Linked DNA regions of Daphnia pulex. The protein of the gene in region 2 purifies or fractionates together with the protein of the main gene of each other region. This does not show direct contact. Links are inferred from orthologs where the notes say so. Each region holds a gene or a part of one and is shown on either strand. Other genes may lie near its edges.

The links.
Region 1: the proteins of serine/threonine-protein kinase prp4-like (region 2) and U4/U6.U5 tri-snRNP-associated protein 2-like purify together in Homo sapiens (affinity purification with mass spectrometry; 3 studies listed by BioGRID and IntAct, with this or other methods). This does not show direct contact. The link is inferred for Daphnia pulex from reciprocal best matches to the Homo sapiens genes PRP4K and USP39.

The regions. Positions count from the first base shown.
Region 1 is NC_060025.1:1,779,025-1,783,171, reverse strand, and holds U4/U6.U5 tri-snRNP-associated protein 2-like, read right to left. Parts: upstream 2,695-4,147; 5' UTR 2,564-2,694; coding exon 2,488-2,563; intron 2,408-2,487; coding exon 2,261-2,407; intron 2,201-2,260; coding exon 1,911-2,200; intron 1,854-1,910; coding exon 1,628-1,853; intron 1,560-1,627; coding exon 1,273-1,559; intron 1,205-1,272; coding exon 1,014-1,204; intron 954-1,013; coding exon 818-953; intron 754-817; coding exon 667-753; intron 606-666; coding exon 558-605; 3' UTR 501-557; downstream 1-500. Other genes in the region: uncharacterized protein LOC124202306, read left to right, coding at 3,500-3,551, 3,642-3,772, 3,847-3,926, 3,997-4,144.
Region 2 is NC_060020.1:7,005,439-7,009,494, reverse strand, and holds the start of serine/threonine-protein kinase prp4-like, read right to left. Parts: upstream 2,801-4,056; 5' UTR 2,645-2,800; coding exon 2,640-2,644; intron 2,578-2,639; coding exon 2,437-2,577; intron 2,307-2,436; coding exon 2,078-2,306; intron 2,019-2,077; coding exon 1,288-2,018; intron 1,213-1,287; coding exon 1,125-1,212; intron 1,049-1,124; coding exon 719-1,048; intron 376-718; coding exon 140-375; intron 1-139. Other genes in the region: regulation of nuclear pre-mRNA domain-containing protein 1B-like, read left to right, coding at 3,146-3,296, 3,357-3,596, 3,653-4,024. UniProt on the Homo sapiens protein: Serine/threonine kinase involved in spliceosomal assembly as well as mitosis and signaling regulation. Connects chromatin mediated regulation of transcription and pre-mRNA splicing.

The sequences.
Region 1 (4,147 bases), on a different chromosome or scaffold from region 2:
CGTTTTCCAATTTTTTGTAGCATAAAATAAAAATCACCCCACCGCTGCTCACCGCAAAAAAATAAGCTATTTGAATTCGATCGAATGCTGGTCTGATTTTTGAAGAAACTTTGTGCGAGTGTATGTAAGGGAAAAAGAGTAGCAAACGAGCGGAATTCATGAAGGACAATTTGATTGCGCGGTGTGAATCTAATTTTTCACTACGACCCTTTATTTTTTCATCCCTTCTGTCCTCTTTGGGGGTTGTCTCTTACGTGTTTGTTTCAAGATTTCTTTATTTTGCTCTGCATTCTCAAACCCACTTCTTCTCTCTTAATTAAACAAATCACTCCTTTTTCCCTGTTTTGCCACACAACATCGTTTGGAGCAAGATAAATGAAACAAAAAAAAACGAAATAAGTTGTGTATTATTGCATCTTGTGTAATCAAACATGGTTCGTTTTCCTCGCGACGTGGTGTGTTAATTTTATTCAATCCAATAAGAAGTCTCACATTAATGCTTTAGTACGAATTTGAATATTTATTTCAACTCGGGTTTTACACTTTTGACAGAAATTTCAGTTGGACATTTCAACGTCGCTTCTTTCCGTAGATTGTTCCCATATCTAAAATGTTTGAACATTTTAAATGGGACATAATAACGTTTTATTGTATTTTTTTTTCTACCTGAATGTAAGCTTCTGTGAGAGTGATCATCTGCGGAAGAATTTCTGTCACGTGCAGATCTTGCATTTCAAACCATTTTCCTGTCGCCTAATAGAAGCAATTGACTCGTGAAGTTTATTGTGATTATTGGTCAACAATAAAACGAATTTACCTTATGAAGTATGTGAACACGATAAGTTCCCTTGGTTGGTTCTCCATCATGTACAATATTGGCTAACAGATCGTATGTGGTACATCCGTGTTTGGCGCGAACATCTGCACCTAGAATATCGCCAAAATCCACACCCCTAAAAGCACATCTCAATTTTGTAACAGTCAACAAAAAATGGTGTGGTAATTTTATTTACCTGATGGGGAAGTTTATGATGGTGGGATTCTTTTCTATGAAAAACGTGTTCTTCGTGAATCTCTTGATGTTGAGAATAATGTAACGTGGCAGTTTTGTCAATTCGAATCTCTTCAAAAAATTTTCCTTGTAGGTCTTGTATTCCTTTTGCTGGACTCCATTGAATTGAGACAGCAATGCAAACAGAGATACCTGAAAAATCAACAAAAGACTCGATCTAGCTTTTAATTAATGCTACAAGCTAATTGATTTTGGCAAACCTGTGGAATGATGTTTTCGCGAAATTCATCTTTGAACAGAGGAGGGGGAGGCAAGTCGGCTGCCAGAAAAAGGAAAGGCGAATCGACAAATGTTTCGACGTATTCGGCAGTCAACATCAGTGCATCCTTTTCTGTATCAGTGGCATCGATGGGTGGGATTCGCTGAGAATGAATTTTCATTGCTCCCAAAAAAGATTTGTAGATGATTGAAGAAGTTGGCTTCTTGGTACCGTTTAATGCCAGATGCAACGCGTTTAAAAACCACGAAAGAAATTCCACTGGATCACCTGAAATATGGAAAATGAAGAATTAGCAAGGTAAAATTTTAATAACAATTCTCATAATTTAATATTACCCTGGCTTGTAATTTGGAATTTCTTTTTACTGCACAGAACGACAGCCTGGAGCATCTCGTGGGGGGAAACGTGAGCCTTAAAGTTGCGTGGATTCCAAAGCTTACGAATCAATTCACCAAAACGCTGAACTAAGATGACGTTATTGTCTCCAGGAGGACGCTTGATACCAATGTAGTTCTCTTCCCTGAGAAAGTAATCGCGTAGTGGAACAACATGAGATAAAGCCTAATACAAAAGTAAGTAAAGTTTATTATTTTAATTTATAGTTTACTACTTCATTACCTGTAGGACTACATTGCAGTAATCATTAGCTTTGATGTTATTGAGTCCAACTACTCCAGGACGGTAAAGAGTACCATCACAAGACCTAGATACTTTATCAATGACATCCAACACTGCAATATTTGCTTTTTTGAATGTTGGATTCAAGACATATTTGATATCATCGAGTGATGAATCAATGATTTCATAGTTGTCTGGCAGACAATAGAATCTTAGGGTGTGAAGGTTCAAAAAAACATGATGTCCCTCTCCCACACTGTGAAGATATGCATGTGTGCTGGGGCCTCTTCCTAGAATTCATTTGAAACAATTTAAAATATGTGAATATTGCTGTTTAACTTCAAATTTACCTTGAAAGTATTTCCCACACACCAAACATGCATAGACATTAATCCTTGTGAGCGAGACTGAACAGAGTTTTTCAAAATCAAAATCCAAAACTGTCCTGTTTATTGTGTCCAAATAAGGACACAAACGAGATTTGGCAATTGGTTCTCCTAGAATTTTTATCAGTAAAAGTTGTTACACGGATTGCACTATATTTATTATTTGGTTTTGTGGATAGTGACAACAATACTTGTTTTCACGACGGGTTCGTCTTCATCATCGAAATCTTCATGTTTGCGCTTTATATCACTCTTTTCCGTCCCCATTTTTGAAAAGATATTTACCCCAAGAGCCAAAATTGACAGCTTTTCTTATTGTTTAAGAATTAAGGAAACTCGAATGCAGAGTTACGGAAAGGATAGCAGACACATAAAACGAATGCAACGCGTTAATGCCGGTAAACGAAAAAGTAGAATTATTGTCCTGTAGATGGCGTGAACTACTTCATTCAAATCTTGTAACGCGATTCAAAATTTCGTTTGATTATCATGGTCATGCGTCAAGTAAATAATTATTTGTACAAGATGGGGCTACTATTTTTTATCGTTTGAATTACTATCCTGATAACTAACTAAAAAACCCTTATTTTGTGTCTGGTAACGCTGTTGGGTCTTGGGTGTTGTGTAATCATCTCAAAGTTTAGAGTTTGTCTCGAATTTGTTTGGATGTATTATCAGAACTCTGTTTACCTTGATTAACTTATGTCAACAGAAGTCTATATTTTGAAAGCGATATTCATGGTTCAGATAATGATGTTCAGCATAGTGTAGATTTTTTCTGCCTGGATACAAATTGCTTACTTGAACCATAAACCCGGAAACAAGCAATTTCCGGGTTTCTAAAAATCAACTAAGCAATTGGTGAATTAGAATTTCGTAATTCATTTTCAATAGAATGTTTTTTTTTGTATAAGTTCGTCCTTCGAAGGTGTACAAAAATATAATCATTGGGTAATTTTGTTTGCCCTTTGATTTTAGCACGCAATACGGATTATCAGATTAGTCAAATCAAGTTCGATGTCACAATCATAATCTTTGAAAAACCCATTTATATCACTTTCTAATCAAGAAGTGATCGATTGCCCAATCATTGATAGACCAATAATTTTTGTATAAATTGGTCGTGTGCAGTTTGCATTTTCTGTTTCTCAAAAGGACACGGTTTCTTTCTTTAACTTTAAACTGAAATTGTGTTCGTTCGTCATGAAAGTGGTTGGCATTTTCGCTTTGCTCTGCCTTTTTACCCTTTCCAATGGTTTGCTCATATTTGTTACTCGTTCCTTGATTGGGTTGATTCTAAATTTCTAACGACCATAATTTTTAATTTTGTCATTACTTTTGGTAGGTGCTGGAATTCGACGCCCCGTTTCTGGAAAAGGCGAGCCGCTTCTTCGTCTTTCCTTTCCGGCCTCTGAACATTTGATGAATCGTGCTCGAAGTGGGGAAGCAGGAAATGCCAATGAATACATGGACGAGGTATTTGTAATATAATTCAATTTCGTTCTTTGATTTACTGAATTTTGTCTTTTTAAAAACATTTTATATTTTAGGTTTTGGCTTTAGTTCGCGAGCAGATAGTCCTGCTAGGATACGACCGTATTCAGCTTCCAGATGGCGATTTTAGCTTTACGTATGACGGGAAAAATTGACAATCAACTTTATTTTTAGTAAATATGAATTTTCTGAAATTTCCTAAATAGATGGGATGCTTACCCCGGCGTAAATGGCGGTGTCTTTTTGCACGATGGCTTGGCTACTGGTTTGGAAACAATTCACCGTGTTGGGGACGCTACTCTTAGCAACACTGACACTGTCATTTTCTTTGAATCTGATTGCGGCATCAACAATGTA
Region 2 (4,056 bases):
CTGCCCGATCGGTTCATCCACTGTAAATCAAGAACAGCTATAAAGGCGAACTGATAAGCATGCATAAAACTCAATGAAAACTATGTGCATTGACAACTGGATACTTCCTTGGGAATATACGCAACTGATGAACACTCACATGATCTCATTGTTGCGAATAATCTTGATTGCCACTTCTTGGCCAGCTCGAAGTTGATCTCTTGCACGAATTACATTCGAAAATACACCTTGGCCCGTGTAACCATATACAGAGTATCGCCCATCCAAAGTCTCTCCTATGCAAACTCTGTAATAACCTTCGGCGTCGTCCCAGTTGTCAGTTAGATTAGGGTTGTCTGACACGCGTTTCATTTGTTCCATAGCGGTAGCAGGACTCTGTTAAATGTACATAGAAAATGGTTTCCAACTGCTATTAAAATTGTTCAAACATGACTTCGAATGACAAATGGTGCATCAGTGTGCTCATACAAGAGGAAGCTAAGATGCCGAAGTGTTGCTTTCAACGACGTCGCCAAAGGAGCAGTCGGACACGGCTTCTTCTATTGATCTACGATAATCTCAATGCCATCAGCTTAAACATTTTTCTAACAAAATAGTAGGCTCATAAAATAAATTACGAAGATACGCAAGTAATATTCGGCACTAACTGAAATTACTTGTGAGTAGACTGGATTGAATATGGGCACACTAGAAAAAAAATAATGAAATAGAAACTCACACTGTACTCTTCCGCAAACATATCAGCTTCCGGAGCGAACATGTCTCTCTTTTTAGCACGCTTCTCTTCCTCAAGCTTCGCTTCCCTGGTATCCGTTTGACTGTCAGTTTTTCCAGATGGTTCACCAGTGATAGAATCTTTCTGCCTATCCACATCACTAAAGCTGCTTTTTGTCACGATGATAGGAGAATCAAACGACATGTTAGGAGTGCTCATCATAGAATCTTCTCCGCCTTCGTTTAGCACTTCTTTGAAAGGTGACGATGTTCCAGATACGTAGCCCTCTACATTCCAAGACTGGCTGGAGTCTTCTGAAGGAGCTCCCAGTTTCTGTGATAAATGTAGGTAGAAAAAAATGTTAACTGCCAATAGGTGCTTTGTTTAAAATATTCAGAATTTGCATTACCTTAAGCAACTCCTCCCTCTGTTTACGGCGTTGCTCAATAATCTTATCCTCGTCTTCTTCTTCATCCTCAAATTCAATATCCAGTGGACTAATAAATACGCAACAGAAATTAGGAACAATTAACAGCTGAAAAATCTACATAAACGCTAATCAAATTTCTTACACATCTTCCGATGATGACTCGTTTGGCTTGCTAGATTCTCCATTCTTCGTAGAACGCCTTTGATCTTCTTTACCTGGCCGATCTCTGTGATCATCTCTTCTCGGCCTATCTCTGTTCCAGTCTCTATTACGATCTCTTTCACGATCTTGTTCATTTTCTCTAGTTTGGCGATCTCGTCTGTCTGGTTCACGACCTCTGTCACGATCACGCATTCTTCGATCTCGGTCTTCTCTCTCGCGCTTCGACCGCATATCTCTGTCTCTTCTATCTCGTCTCTCTTTAGATCGGTCTCTTCTTTCGCGCTCGACTCTTTCCCTTCTTTCTCTTTCCTCTCGTTCACGTTGATCTTTCCTTTCTCTTTCCTCGCGCTCACGTTGTCGATCTCGCTGTTCTCTCTTTTCTCGTTCTTTTTCTCTTTCTTTCTCCTTTTCTCTATCCCTTTCTCGTCCAGGATCTCTTTCTTTTTCTCGATCTCGTTCTTTTCCTTTTTCTCTTTCACGGTCCCGTCCAGGTTCTCGTTCTTTTTCTCTACTGCGTTCTTGCTCTGACTCCCTTTCTCTTATCCGTTCTTTATCCCGAATTAAGCGAGATTCCTTATTTCGCGTTTCGGTTAAAACTTCGATTTCTTTCAATTTGTCTCGTAGTTTTTCAGTAGTTTTTACTTCGATCGTTTTGGTTTCGGTGTCAGAGCAAGAAGAATCGTAAGCACCAAGTCTAGCTTGCAGCAGCTCCTGTAAAAAAAAGTTCAATATTGTTAATGCTTACAAAATAATGTTATGAGATGAAAAACCTTTTGTTTCATCAGTTCTTCCAGATTCAATTCTTCTTCCAAATCTACAAGGGTAATTTCTTGAGATTTTCCATTTTCCACTCCATTTTTCAGAGTTTTCCTTGCTTTTGCAGGTTCAGTTTCCACATCAGATTCTCCCTTTTTTATCTTTTTCTTTTTCTTCCTTTTTTGTTCATCATTTTCAGATTCATCTGAACTTTGATCCCTCTTCTGTTTACGTTTCTTTTTCCTGAAAGGTAGAAAATTGGGATTGCAACATTCATTTCGTCAACACAAAACAATATCATAATTTATGTGATTTGTATATCTATAATACATACACGGGAAAAGTTTGAATTTTTTGAAACTTGGAAACTTACTTTGGCTTTTCATCTTTTTTCTTGTGTTTGTGAGTCTTCTTTAATTTAGTTTTTTTGTGCTTGCTTTTGGTTTCGTCTTCTTCTTTTCCTTCATTTTCATTCTTGGCTACCAGCATGTCGACGTCGCTCAACTCCGGTGTGCTTAAAAAGAATTCAAACTAATTTAGTTTATGATCATGTGAATATGAATACCATAAGCTTACCTCATATTGCTGTATTTTGGAACTAAAGGAATTGCACGCGTTGATCTAAATAATACACAACAACCTATTGAATACCAACACAGTGATGATTTTGTCGACAAATTTCGACAAATTTTGACAGACTAACAAACTAGCGAACAGCAGGGTTGTCAAACACTTGTAAATTATTTTCCAATTTAAACATAGAAAGCATTTGTTTTAATTTAGTCCTTATATTTCTATTAACTGGGTGATTTTTTATTACATTTTAATTTTAAACATGAAATATAGAATAAAACGAAATAAATTTATGACTGTTGTTCTTTTTTTTTATTATAAACTAAATCAAAATTCGGAAAAAGAGGATGGTTCTCATGAAATACAGACAAAAAATTTCGTGCATTTTTGTCTGCTACTTTACCTAATCGAGATTCTAGAAGAAGAGAAGACTGACTCACAAATCTTAGGGACTGAGTTTGCGGTTAACGTAATAGACGAAACTTAATCTATGGAGATTAATCTACAAAATGTCAGGATTTTCTGATGCCGCACTAGAGAAAAAATTAGCCGAACTAAACAACTCTCAACAAAGTATTCAAACATTGTCTTTGTGGTTAATCCACCACCGTAAACACCATGCTAGTATCGTCAAAATTTGGTTAAAGGAATTCACGAAAGGTAGTAAAAAAATTCCTAAATCCACATTTCCAATTAAATTCCAGCATTTCTATTTCTTAGCCAAGGACAGTCGAAAACTCACTTTCATCTATCTCGTCAACGATGTCATCCAGAACAGCAGAAAGAAAGGTCCAGAATTTAGAGATCACTTTGGTCCAATTCTTGCTCCAGCCCTTAAATTGATGGGTCAAGCTGTCAATGATGAAAACACTCAGAAAAGACTAGAACGAATTCTCAATATTTGGGGAGACAGAAACATGTTTGATTCCAAACAGATTGCTGAATTCAGAAAATCATTAGGTATAAGCTATAGAAATAATTTTCATTACGTAATTTTAAATGATACCTTCATGCAGAATCATGTCTCAAGAGAAGATTTGACAATGGAGAACCCCCTGTCAAAATATCAAGAAGAGATAGGGGTGAGAGCCGCGAAATGTTAGAAAATGTCAAAGAAAACAAAGAGCAAGAAGATCCTGATAAAACTAAGAAAGAACGAAGAAAATCAGAATGTAATGAAGTGATACAGTTTGATAAGGAAGGAAAGAAAGAAGTCCACATAACTTTGTCTCCAAAACTACCTGCTAATGATGCTCCAGAACCTGAAGAACTTGTTAAAGCACTTCAGACCCTTGAAAATGCAGCATCAAGTGATGGTATTGTCAGGAAAAAAATTACTGAATTGCCTCCTGAAGTATCAGATGTCAGTTTGCTTTCAAAAATCTCAGGTAATTCTTCCAAGAAATTTCGTGTGTGGCAA